Linked DNA regions of Coturnix japonica. The protein of the gene in region 1 interacts with the protein of each later gene in a pairwise test. Links are inferred from orthologs where the notes say so. Each region holds a gene or a part of one and is shown in the gene's direction. Other genes may lie near its edges. The genes, in order: KIF2A, FAM13C and LARP1B.

The links.
Region 2: the proteins of KIF2A (region 1) and FAM13C interact in binary tests that used the Homo sapiens proteins (3 or more experiments, as listed by UniProt). The two-hybrid records come from large-scale screens. The link is inferred for Coturnix japonica from reciprocal best matches to the Homo sapiens genes KIF2A and FAM13C.
Region 3: the proteins of KIF2A (region 1) and LARP1B interact in binary tests that used the Homo sapiens proteins (3 or more experiments, as listed by UniProt). The two-hybrid records come from large-scale screens. The link is inferred for Coturnix japonica from reciprocal best matches to the Homo sapiens genes KIF2A and LARP1B.

What each region holds. Positions count from the first base shown.
Region 1 is NC_029547.1:20,755,592-20,758,630, forward strand, and holds the end of KIF2A (kinesin-like protein KIF2A), read left to right. Parts: intron 1-198; coding exon 199-334; intron 335-682; coding exon 683-768; 3' UTR 769-2,486; downstream 2,487-3,039. UniProt on the Homo sapiens protein: Plus end-directed microtubule-dependent motor required for normal brain development. May regulate microtubule dynamics during axonal growth. Required for normal progression through mitosis. Required for normal congress of chromosomes at the metaphase plate.
Region 2 is NC_029521.1:53,026-57,201, forward strand, and holds the start of FAM13C (protein FAM13C), read left to right. Parts: upstream 1-1,248; 5' UTR 1,249-1,345; coding exon 1,346-1,407; intron 1,408-4,176.
Region 3 is NC_029519.1:30,352,931-30,357,193, forward strand, and holds the start of LARP1B (la-related protein 1B), read left to right. Parts: upstream 1-1,371; 5' UTR 1,372-1,977; coding exon 1,978-2,251; intron 2,252-4,263.

The sequences.
Region 1 (3,039 bases):
GAGCACATACATAGTTTTTCTGAACTGAAAATATGGATTCTTTTTAAAACTTTCAGAGTGAGATAATTAAGAGGTAGGAAATACAGTCATCTTGAGTATATGTAGTAAGTAGTCTCTTTGTCTTACAGTCTGTACCCTTGCTAATTTTTTTTGTTTGTTTTGTTATCTTGGTGGATTTTTTTTATAACTGTTACCTAGGAATCTATTAGATGGCTGGAAGATGAAAAATCACTTCTTGAGATGACAGAAGAAGTAGACTATGACGTGGATTCTTATGCTACCCAACTTGAAGCAATTCTGGATCAAAAGATTGATGTTCTGACTGAACTTAGAGGTAGAATGCTTTTAATCACTTTCGCGTTTATTAGCAATGTGTAGTGTGGGCTTTTATTTTGGGAGATTTTTCCTCTTGCACTGTCATGTAGTGTAGAAGAAATGATTGTTCTGCTGCTTAGGAAAAAGTTCACATCTATATTCCATTCATTCTAGTTTGAAAGACAAATCTCTGCTGCGCCTCCAGCAACTTGTTTCTGCAACTTCATTTCCTTTTCCTTTATTCCAAAATGTTTAAGGGAAGAATAAGAAAATGCAAAGGAAATGTTTAAAAAAAAAAAAAAAAATAGTTTCAGGATCTGTGTTGGGCAAAGACATATTGGACCTCGTTCTTTCTTTTTCATTATAGACAAAGTGAAATCTTTCCGAGCAGCTCTCCAAGAGGAGGAACAGGCCAGTAAACAGATCAACCCAAAAAGACCGCGTGCCGTTTGAAAGGGGCCTTTGCTGCTAAAGGAATCCATGAACCCATACTGCTGTAGCACACATTTGTTACAAAACCCAGTGGCCCTAAGAACTCAACTACTTGAAAGTGTAAAAACATTAGAAATGTTTGTGGAAATGTCCTGTTTCTTATTCGCCTGAGTGACATTTTCGATTTTGTGTGAAATGCTCCTATGATGTCTACAAAATGCTTCTAGACCAGACAGCACAACCATGCAGGGTTTAGATCTGTGAAGCACTTTGTTTAAAATATTTCATTTATTCAAATTGTGAATTTTATGTTTTGAAATACTTGCCATGTTTTTAACAATGAAGTAAAACTGTGGCTATTAAAGAATCACAGTATTTCCATATAACTATGTTCAGTTTTGTTACAGAGATCAGCTGTGCAGTTTTAATTGTGTTTGCTTGCATGCTCACCTCACTAGTGGTTGTACGTAACTTCTCTTCTACAGATAGCTGTGCTTACCACTTCCTGTTCTGTGCCTTGATGAAGGCTACTTAACCCTGAATATCCTCCTTCTGAAGCACAGCCTTAAGCAACATTCCTAATTTTGTCAGTATAAATTACTTTCAGCGTATGTACATTTTTAATGTCTTTTGAAACTTTTTTTTGGTGAGTAGTTCATTCATTTCACAGAATGTGCCATATCATTTGAACAGGAACTGCAAGAGCTGTTAGAGTGGACAAACAGCTGGACATTCCATCCTCCTTGTAAAAATATGGATTCTAGATTTATTTGAGAATCATAAAGAATCGTTATATAACGCTTTTCTCAGTTAAAAAAGAAAAAAGAAAAAAACAAAACAATAAACTAGTTGATGTATAATAAAGGGTAATGTCTAAGTTCTGAGGAGAGTTGTATCTTAGGATAATGCAGATATGCAGCATGTGGTATGGTGTGATAATGCTGTCAGAATAAAGGTACAATCTGACCTCTGTGTATGGCTAGGATAACTGTCAAAGTTTGGGGATCTAGCTAAATAAATACTTTTTGGGGATCTAGCTAAATATACTGGCCTTTCACATACTGTTAAATTGGCTTTTGATGCATGACAGACTTACATGTACATTAACTGTAGTTTGCAGGTAGTTTGAGTAGCTCTGTTGCTTTAAAAATAGTAGCTAATACCTATTTTTCCCTTTGCAGTGCCAGCAGCTGAAAAGTGGTGTGAAATTGCATCATTTAAGGATTTGCACAATACCTCTACCTAGTGTTAGCAGGAATTCCGCGAGTAACTAAATTCTGACAAATGGCGCCATGTATATCAGCACTTCTTAGGTGGTGGCACTCAAGTTACTTTTGTGTATCCAAAAGAGATTGACCTTTCATGTAAGAACTTGTCATCAAAGGAAGAGTTGTAGACCTCTCTAGGAGTTCTCCCTGTTTCCTGGAGTTTCTATCAGCAGACTGGGAACTGCTGAAATATTACTCTTGGAATACAAGCCTGTTTGCTTATATAAGGCCTAGAGGGTAATAAAGGGAACGCAATAAAGAGAGAGTTAAATGAGCCAGGAATTCTTGTAGTGTTTAATGTTTGTATCTCCCATAGGAAGGTAGGCTATGGGAATCTCCTGTCGCATCATGGTTAAAAGAATAAAAAAAATTCCTCCTGTGTGTTAACATGAAAACTGAAAAAAAAAAAAAAAAAAAATGTAGATTTTACATAATGTGTTTAATAAATTAAGCTATTAAATGAACTACAAATGAGAATTCTATTAAAGTTCTGTTCTGTTTTGGGGAGGGCGGCACTTGGTTAAACATGTGGATTGATGCACTTTTGATAAGGCCAATGATTTTGAATGGATTTTAAGTTGTAGAAAGTAACTTTCTGTGCAAATCTGTAACATGTGAAGAAGAGCCTAGAGCAGCATCACAACTTGCATCTTGCAGTAGGCCTTAAAGATGTATTACACGTGCTTTGAGAATTTAGTCAAGAGCGTCATTCATCGCAGTTAAAAGAACAGTGGAAAAAAATAAGGCGGGTAGCTTTTGTTAACGGGTGGCAGTACAGGTTACTGCAGGTATGTCCAACCTGTGGCCTAGCTCCTCCCCAGTGCTACTGTGGCAGCAGCTCTGCCCTGCCAAGCAGCACCATCTCCCACAACAACCAAACAGTGGTGCGCAGTCAGCAGCGTCTGGGCTGAACCCGGGGCTTGGGGTTTAGTGCAATGTTAACTAAAGTTACAGCAAGTAATGTGCATTTTATATGTTGGCTGAATGTAATCCTATCAGCAGCAAAAAATAAGTAGCCGTGCTT
Region 2 (4,176 bases), on another chromosome or scaffold:
GTGAATTAGCAGAGAATTTCACCTTAACAAGTAGAAATGAAGAAATTATGTTCACAAGATCATTCTATTTTCCATCTCCTCCTTGTGTGTGTGTGTGTGTATGTAGGAAGGGGAATGGGAATAAATATGTAGTGTCTCTTTAAGATCTACCCTAATCACTGTGTGATGCTTGTGAATGTGATGTTGTGATTAAAAGCTGTGATTCCTCCTTCTTTTTTTCTATTCACCTCCTCTCACAAAACCTGTTTTTTTTTTTTTTTGTAGGGCTGAAGTCCCTATGGACAGATTTCCTGATAATTTGTGCCATGAAATAAATTGCTGTATATACAAATATAGAAAAGAGCAAACACTGTGTGCAAGCAGGTAGAGAGGCTGGGAAGATAAGGCACATTGCCAGCACTGTTCGGGAGAGAAGGGAAATTGTCACTTCTGTGGCCCTGGCTGCTGCTTCTGTGGGGAAGGGATGCTGTGCCTCTCTGTCCCTGCTCCATGTGCTGCTGGGTTTTGTGTGGTGCCGTTGTCACAAATAGGAGTGCTTGTAAGACGCAGCTCCCTGTATTACCTTCTCCTCCTCCTCCCTGCCCTAATATGTCTCAGTGAGAATGGATTTTGTTTGTTTTCTGCTGCTAACATTTCAGAATGTTCCAACTGGATTTGAGAGGTGTTGCTTAAGGGGGAATTCCATCGCTGCCTCAAAACCAACCGTTTGCTGTATCCTGAGCTGACCCTTCCTGAACATATTACATCAAGTCTGAAAAATGTTGCTGCAAAAGGGCAGCAGCCTATTCCTTTCTTAGGAATGGTTTCATCTATTCCTTGCTGTTTGCTCAATAACCTTTTGCTACTTGAACTGCTCTTTCTCCCAGATTATTTTTGCGTTGCTTCCCTTGGGATCTGACCATGAGCTGAGTGTATAAAAGACTTCTAAATGAGAAGAAAAAGACCTCCAGATATTTTAACAATCCTATTTAAGTAAATAAAAATAACATTGTGTTTGATTAGCCAATTGCAATCATTTAAAGAGCAGAATGCCAAATACTTGTTTGTAAACCTACAGCTTTTATTAGTGGCAGCGTTACTGTTGTAACAGAATATGATCCTTCTCTGAGCCTCACAGGCTACCTGCATCCTCATATTTATTCAAAGCACTGCTGGATGGGCTTTGTAAGTGTTGTAGGGCTAATCCCCGTGGTTCCTTGATTATGAGCATGTGCAGAGCAGCCGAAGGTACAGTCGCGCATGTAGAGCTAACACACACAGACTTGCCTTGCAATGCCATGTTTGTGCATGTGTTTCTACAACTGAGAAGGAAACAGGGAGCCTGCCTGCCTTGCTGACTTGTCTGATGTTTTCTTGTTTCTGTTTCAGCATTCAGGATAATTCCTTCAACACCACAGCTTTAGCAGAGTAAGTCAACACTTTAAAGATGTGCCTTATTTTTAAATAAGAGTGGTAGAAAATAATTGCAAGTACTGTGTGAGAGGTCCCAAGCTTTCTGTCATGTATTTTGATTCAGGTTAATCTTAATCTCAGTATATTATTGAGACTCTGAAAAGAATTGCATAAAACAGACGCCTTTACATTTTGTGAGACCATTTGGCAACAAAGTACTTTTCTGGGAGGATATAAATTTGATATACCTCACAAATGTTTAAGTGCATGATTTCAGTGTAGGATAAATCTCCAGTGATTGTATTGCTCATTTCTGGTACTGATGATCTCGACAAACACAAGCATGTCAGAACGCATGCCCTGCATTTCCTGCATGCGTTAGGAAAAACAATTCTTTAAAAATATTTTTTGGGGAAAAAAAGACAACAAACACAGAAACATCATTTAGACAGAGCAGGCACCAAACACATTGTTCTTTGTAATTATTTCCATAAACTCATTGAGAAGGTTTTCATCTTTATTGTGATCATAAGGACATATTCATTGATTTTGTTGTTGTCATAAAGAGACAACAGAAGAGGGTGAGGACATTAGAAAGTTACAAAGGCAATGTCTTTAGGGAGGATTATAAATAAAATAATCATTTTTTTATTCCAGTATAAAATGCTTCGATTTAGATATTCTCTGTGTTATTTTGCATGCTTTTGATTGTTTCAAAACCTTTTAGGGAAGACTCTTTGGCAGTAATGCACCAAGCAGTATCTTAGGAAGGAAGTGATTTATAGATTTGCTTGTACATTAGATGAGTTTTACACTGCTAAAATGCTCATAATTTAAAAAACCCTGGCTGGACTGTGATCTGTTTGCTTAAGTGTTATGGGGATGCATTCTGAAAGCAGGCCAAGTTGTAATTTAGTCTGCGCTATCACTCAGTGTTGTCAAAATCACTAAAGGAGAAGGTAAGCAACATTTCTTGAGGGGGTTTAAATAAATTTTCCCTCCTACATTCTTTGCCTTGCTTTCTTTGATATTTTAAGTTACTTGTTCTTTCTGTGTGATTGTGGTAAATATGGAAAGATATAATGGGAGATAATAAATCATCACATCATTCTGAATTGTTTTCATGTGTCCCTGTTATTTAAGTGTTGTGCTGTGGTATGTAAAATTCATAAATGAATAGCCAGATTTCAGGAAGTATATATATATATATATTTCCTTTTTTGTCTCTCTTCCTTTGCTCTGTCCCCTGACATCCATCTCTGTTTCACACAGAGATTCCCCTGTCTTGGCCTGGTGCTGCCTCCCTCACCCTTGAGGTTTTCTGGGATGTGGATGTGATGGTTTTGCTCATTGCAGCTTTGTGTGATCATTAAGACAAGGGAAGAAAGGCTAAGTGGCATCCCTGGGGAAAGGGAGGGGAGATGGGCGCAGACAGTGCTGTGTGGAGCAGAGAGGCAGCTGCGTGGCAGAGCTGGGCTGTCGTCTGAAGGCTGAATCTCTTCATTTAAGCTGTTGTTGGTGTTGTTCCAGGGCCTTTAATTCATAATCTTATCTTACCAAACATGGAAGTAGAAACTGGCTTTTAGAAAACAAAGCAGACAGACAACATCATTCAAAAAGCATTGTCTGACTTGGTTTCCAGTGTTGATTTCCCTAGATCTTGTTTAAAGCCTGCCCCCAAAGCCTGTTTGTGAGGACACACAATTACTGCAGATTTCAGCACGAATTGTTTGTGCTCTGACCATATCTGAAAATAGGTTTCTTCTATTTAGCAGAAACAGAGAGTTTGCCATGCAATGGTAGTCATCCCCATTTGACTTCTCTGAACGATGTAAAACCAGTGAAACAATACTTTCAGGAACATATCTCCAGATAAGGCAAGTGCCTGGGGCTGCTGTGTTCCCAGGAAGCCATGCATGCAGCCTGGTGGAGAAGTTGTTCACGTGAACATCTTAAAGGTCAAGTCTGCAAAAGGAAGCAGTTTTCCAGCTGTAGTGAAATGGTTGTTATTGAAAGGTGAAAATGGAAAAAAATTAAAAAGATGTTCCCACTAAACTACCTCTGGAATACAGAGGCATTGCTAGAGAGGCAGAGTAAAGTCTGTGTGGATTGGGATCCTATGATGGTCTAGGCTTTAAGCAGTGTCTTATGTGAGTGAGTTTTCTCAGTTAATATTTATCCTTGCTGATAAGGAAAACTATTCACCCTTTCAGTCTTGGTGCTGCTGAACTTCCTCACAGTCTTTTTCAACGCATGATGGCCACTGTCTTCTCTGATTCATTTGTGCTAATCCTTTCTATCTACTGGTATCTAGTTAGTCAAATACATTTTGTCAAGTTCAGTTGGAATATTTGTAACTTGTCTTCATTTATGACTGTAATCAGGTACTAGATGCTTACTTAGGCTTCCTGCTTCTTCAGCTCACCTTTACTACAGCCAGCTGAGAGCAGGTGATCCTCGGCTTACTTGTCCAATTTTAGGAGTACTCACACAAATACGCACGCACAAACTTGGCTGCATTCAGTTGCCCACCATCCTCTCAGAGGGAAGAGCACAACTGCACCCACTGCAGGAATGTTATGTGATAAGGTGGATCAGGCAACTGTAGGTATATTTTCCAGTTGCATGCAGCAAATGCTTTCATCCAAATGCTGATTTATTCAGGAAGTGTGAACACTTGAGTGTCCCTTTAAATAATTTCTGCAGCAGTCAGGCTTTTGAGAAAGACTGGCAGGGAAGAGGAATATGTTAAAAACCTTGCCATCAAATTGCAATGCAGAGCTA
Region 3 (4,263 bases), on another chromosome or scaffold:
TTGACAAAATGTCAGGGGGACAGATGGAGTGGGAAATAGGCTTTGCAGGTGGAAGGAAAAGCTCTGAAATGTGTCTAATCAGTGTCAAATGGAGCCTTCTGTAATTTTTCTTCTGAAGTCCAAAGAGCATGCCCTGAAAAGTGACCATTCAGCTTGTGTTGTAGTAAGGATAAATCATTTGTGTTGTGTTACTCGTGTAAGTCAACAACACCCTTAAGTGGCAAAAAGACACCTTGGCTCCAAAAATTGGAGCCTAGTCTTACTAGAATGCTATCTAAATGGATTCTCTTTAAATAGTAGGTTTTATAATAAAGTGAAGATTCTTAGCGTGGTATTTTTGCTTGGGAATCACTAACATTTGGGGCCTCTGCATGTTTTTATTAATATGTTTAATTTGTCTTGTGTCAGTTATATATGTATATATATATTTTTATATACATGTTGATTGTAATTACAGTTGGTGGGGCAGAGAGCTTTCTTTATCTTAAGTTGTCAGGTTCTGTGTCAGCTTGGCTGTAATGATAAGTTACACAGTGTTGAAGGAAAGTTTGTATATAATGTCATGCAGGCATGCCATTCCCCATGCAAAACCATGACATGAGTAAAATGCTATTCTGTAATGCTACCACATTACTGCTCCCTGGCCCAGCTTTCCTCCTCCTCTTAACCGGCTTAATGCTTTTCCCTGGTCTTCAGGTGCCAGTACTGCAGTGTTCCTAATGTCCTGGCTGCCCTACAGACCTGCTGTCTTCTCCCTAGAACAAGGAAAAGGAAGAGGGAGGGTAATGCTGTTCTACCAGTGATTAGGTAGGGCTCTGTGTTTTCCTATTGCTCTTCACTGTGTCTGCATAGCCTCTGAGTTTAGGACAACAAATGAAATAACTGCAAAGTGTTCTGAGCTGACAGTATGGGAAATACTCCTCAGGAGTAAACGTATGCAGATAACGCCCTTATTCACTAGCAACACTTGCCTGTATTTCAATGAATTTCTCACTGTGATGTGTTACTGGTGTGTCCTTGACATGTGAATGTTGTGCACCTGAAGAAGCCGAGTTCTTACTTGCTAAGGAAAATGCTTCTAGGTGTTTGAAAATTTGCTGCCACTTTAATTGCACTTTTTTCTTACTATCAGTTAAAAATGAAGAAGAACGAAGCATCACTTGAACAGAAGGTGCTTCAGAGGCATCTGTAAATGTATTTCAAGGAAAGGTCTCCTTTATTTCCAATGTTTTCAGCTTAAATTTGCAGTGCCAGCAATGCATGCTAAGTTTGGCACAGGGTTTGTCACCACATAACCTCAGTAGAGCAGCGGTGTCTCAAGTGAAAGGTATTCCTGCCGAGGTAAAACTCTTGAAATGTGGTTATTTGTAACGTTACTTTCACAAACACTTAACTAGCTCCTACAGGGGCTGTTTGCAGACCTTCGTCGTGCTGTACAACACGTGGGAAAGGCCTATAATAAACCCCAACGTGCCCCACCCGCTTCGCTGGAGAGCTGACCCCGGTGCCAGGTGGGTGCCGCCGCCTCTCAGGGCCCGCGCCTCGCGCTCTGCCCGGTGCCGTAGCTCATCCGCCCGCCTGACCAGCCGCTTCCAAGCGGAGCCGACAGGCGCGTCCCACGTTACGCGGTTCTCAGCGCGGTTGCTAAGCGGGCCCCGTCCCCGCGTTAAAGGAATCCCGCCCGGCCTCCTTTCGTCCCGTTGCGCGCGCCCCCCACGGAGCCCGGGGCGCGGCCCTTGTGAGCTCACCGCGCCGCCGGGGTGGCCGCCGCCCTCCGAGCCGGCGGCTGGCAGCGAGCGGCCTCTTCGCTCCTCCCTCCTGCCCCCGCCGCGGTCGCCGGCGGAGGGGCCGCCGGAGCTGACAGGGGAGCCCCGGGAGACGGGGCGGAGCGGCGGCGGCCGGAGGAGGAGAGACGGCCGCCCCGCCTCGGCGCCCGTCCCCCTTCCCCCGAGGGCCGCTCGCGGCGGCCGGCAGGGCATGTCCGCCGCGCAGGTGTCCGCCGCGCCCGCCGAGCGCCCGGCCTGGGGCGCCGAGGGCCGGGACGGGCCGACGGAAGGGGCCCGGCGGAGAGAGCCCGCTTCTACCGGCGGGAAGGAGGCCTCGGAAAGCGGCGGCCGGCGAGAGCCCGAGCCCGAGGAGCGGCGACGGCAGGCGGCGGCCGAAGCCCCTCCGCCCAAGGAGAACCCGTGGACGAAGCGCAGAGCCGCGAGGGACGACGCGGCCGACGGGCAGCTCGTGCTGCGGGAGCCAGGTGCGGGGCGAGCCGCAGGGCCGGGCGGGCGGGGAGCTGGCGGGGTGCTGGCCGGCGCCGTGCGTCGCTTTCGGTTCTGCGGAAACACCGCGTGTGCCGGGGACGGCGCGTCCGTCCCCTCCTCCCCCGGCTCCGCTTTCCGCAGCGCTGCACGCGGCCGGCCCCGACAGCCCGTGCTTCTACATACATGGGCAGGGCGGCGGCGGGCGCTGCAGGCCCGGCACCGCGAGCGGAACGCTGAGCAGACCGTGCGGTGCTCTGACATGTAGGAGCTCTGCTGAATCCCCGCTGCTTTCCTGTTGCTCGGCTCTTTGTTTCTGTTTTGCTTTGGTTAGTTGGTTTTTGTTTTTTTTTTTTTTCTTTGTTGTTTTTTACCTGTTTATATAATTTCCCCGTTCAGTTCACTCCCGAGTTTTGCTTTTTAGGGCTCGTGAAGGCCTTAGTGTTAACAGCTGTAGTTCACTCACTCGTGCTGATGGTCAGTTCAGGCTGCTTCTGTGGGAAGAGATGGAGCGAGGGCAGCTTGATGCAATTTGCTGGTCTTTAATTACCACAAATGCAGAATAAAGGTGTGTGAGAGCTCCATACGGACTGCAGACCCGGCTGAAATAGCCCGGCGTTTGCCTTGGGCCCCTGAGAAGTTCCTCGAAGTCAGCACTTCTCGGAGTGCTGCTGTCGGCTGGAAGCAGCTGCCAGCCCCACATAACATGCCTGGTGTGTGCTCCCCGTGCTCTGTGCCGTGCTCCCGAGGGTTCCTGACAGCCCCGCTTGTGTTCTCATGGTCACTTTTATCCTGGAATTAATTGAGTGCCTCCCTCACCAAGAGAAATATACCCCTTGACACTTCCAAGCATGCGTATCGTGCAGGCAGACAGAAATGCTCTCCAGACCGCAGAACCTTTATTTAACTGAAGATGAAACCTTTTGGCAGCACGTGTGTCCATCTGTACCATCGGGCCTTGCTGTCTGTGTGTACTGACGCACTCGTAAATGCCGACTTAGCGTGGCTCCTGTAGCCCGGTGCTGTGCTGCAGTCCTGCCCGTGCATGACAGGGAGCTCGTCACCTGCCCGGGCTGCTGGGACAGTCCCAATAATAGTACAGTGGGAGCTGCTTTGGTGCACTATTGCCTTGTGGGCCTAGTGGGGGCCTGTGCTGGAAATGCTGCTCTTTGCTGAGGTTTTGCTTCCCACTTAAGTCAAAACACAAAAATAGTTGTTGGGGGAAGAGAGAATGGAAGCGTGGAGTCCATGCACCACATATGTTATGTGCACAGTGTGATTATTTCAGAGAGCTTTAAACTGTTATTCATCTGTACAGAAGTTATTGTTTATTAAATGACTGCCTAACTGTGCTGTTGCACTGGAGTAACTATTGCAGTGACAAGTGCAGAATTCAGCAAGTAGAGGAGCTGCTGGTGACAGTGGTACCAGTAAAAGGCATGTGAGGAGGGATGTGCTGTGGGGTGGCTGCCACGGGGAACTTTGGGGTGAGTCACTGCTTACTGCTTGTGGAGCATGGAGTGGCTGATCCAGCGGGGCTGAGAGAGGGAGTGACTGCGTGTGTGTGTGTGTGCCCCCATCTGCAGGAGATGTGTTCTGAGGAACCGAACTGACAAAGCAGTGTCAGCCGCGCCAGGCCCTTATAAGTGTGGTAGTATGGAAACTACGCATGTGAAATAGTAAGTAGGTGGGCAGATGCGCTGCTGGGATGGAATGTAAAACCGTCCATGCAGGGGATAATAAAACTGAAAAGAATCTCGCATCAAAGTAGCAGCTGAATCCTGTTCAACTCGTTGATCTTGGCCTAATTTGCTGAAAGTTTCCTGACACAAGCATGTGTGGCGGCGTGCTCAGTGATAGTTACACGCGGAGAAAGCTGCTTCCAGGCAGTCACCTCTGGCCATCCATGTGCTGTGGTGTTACTCATCTGTACCAGAGGCAGAACCAGCTCCTTCTTTTGAAGGCAACTGCTAAATCACTGGTCAGACAATAGAAGGAAAAAGTAATGGGA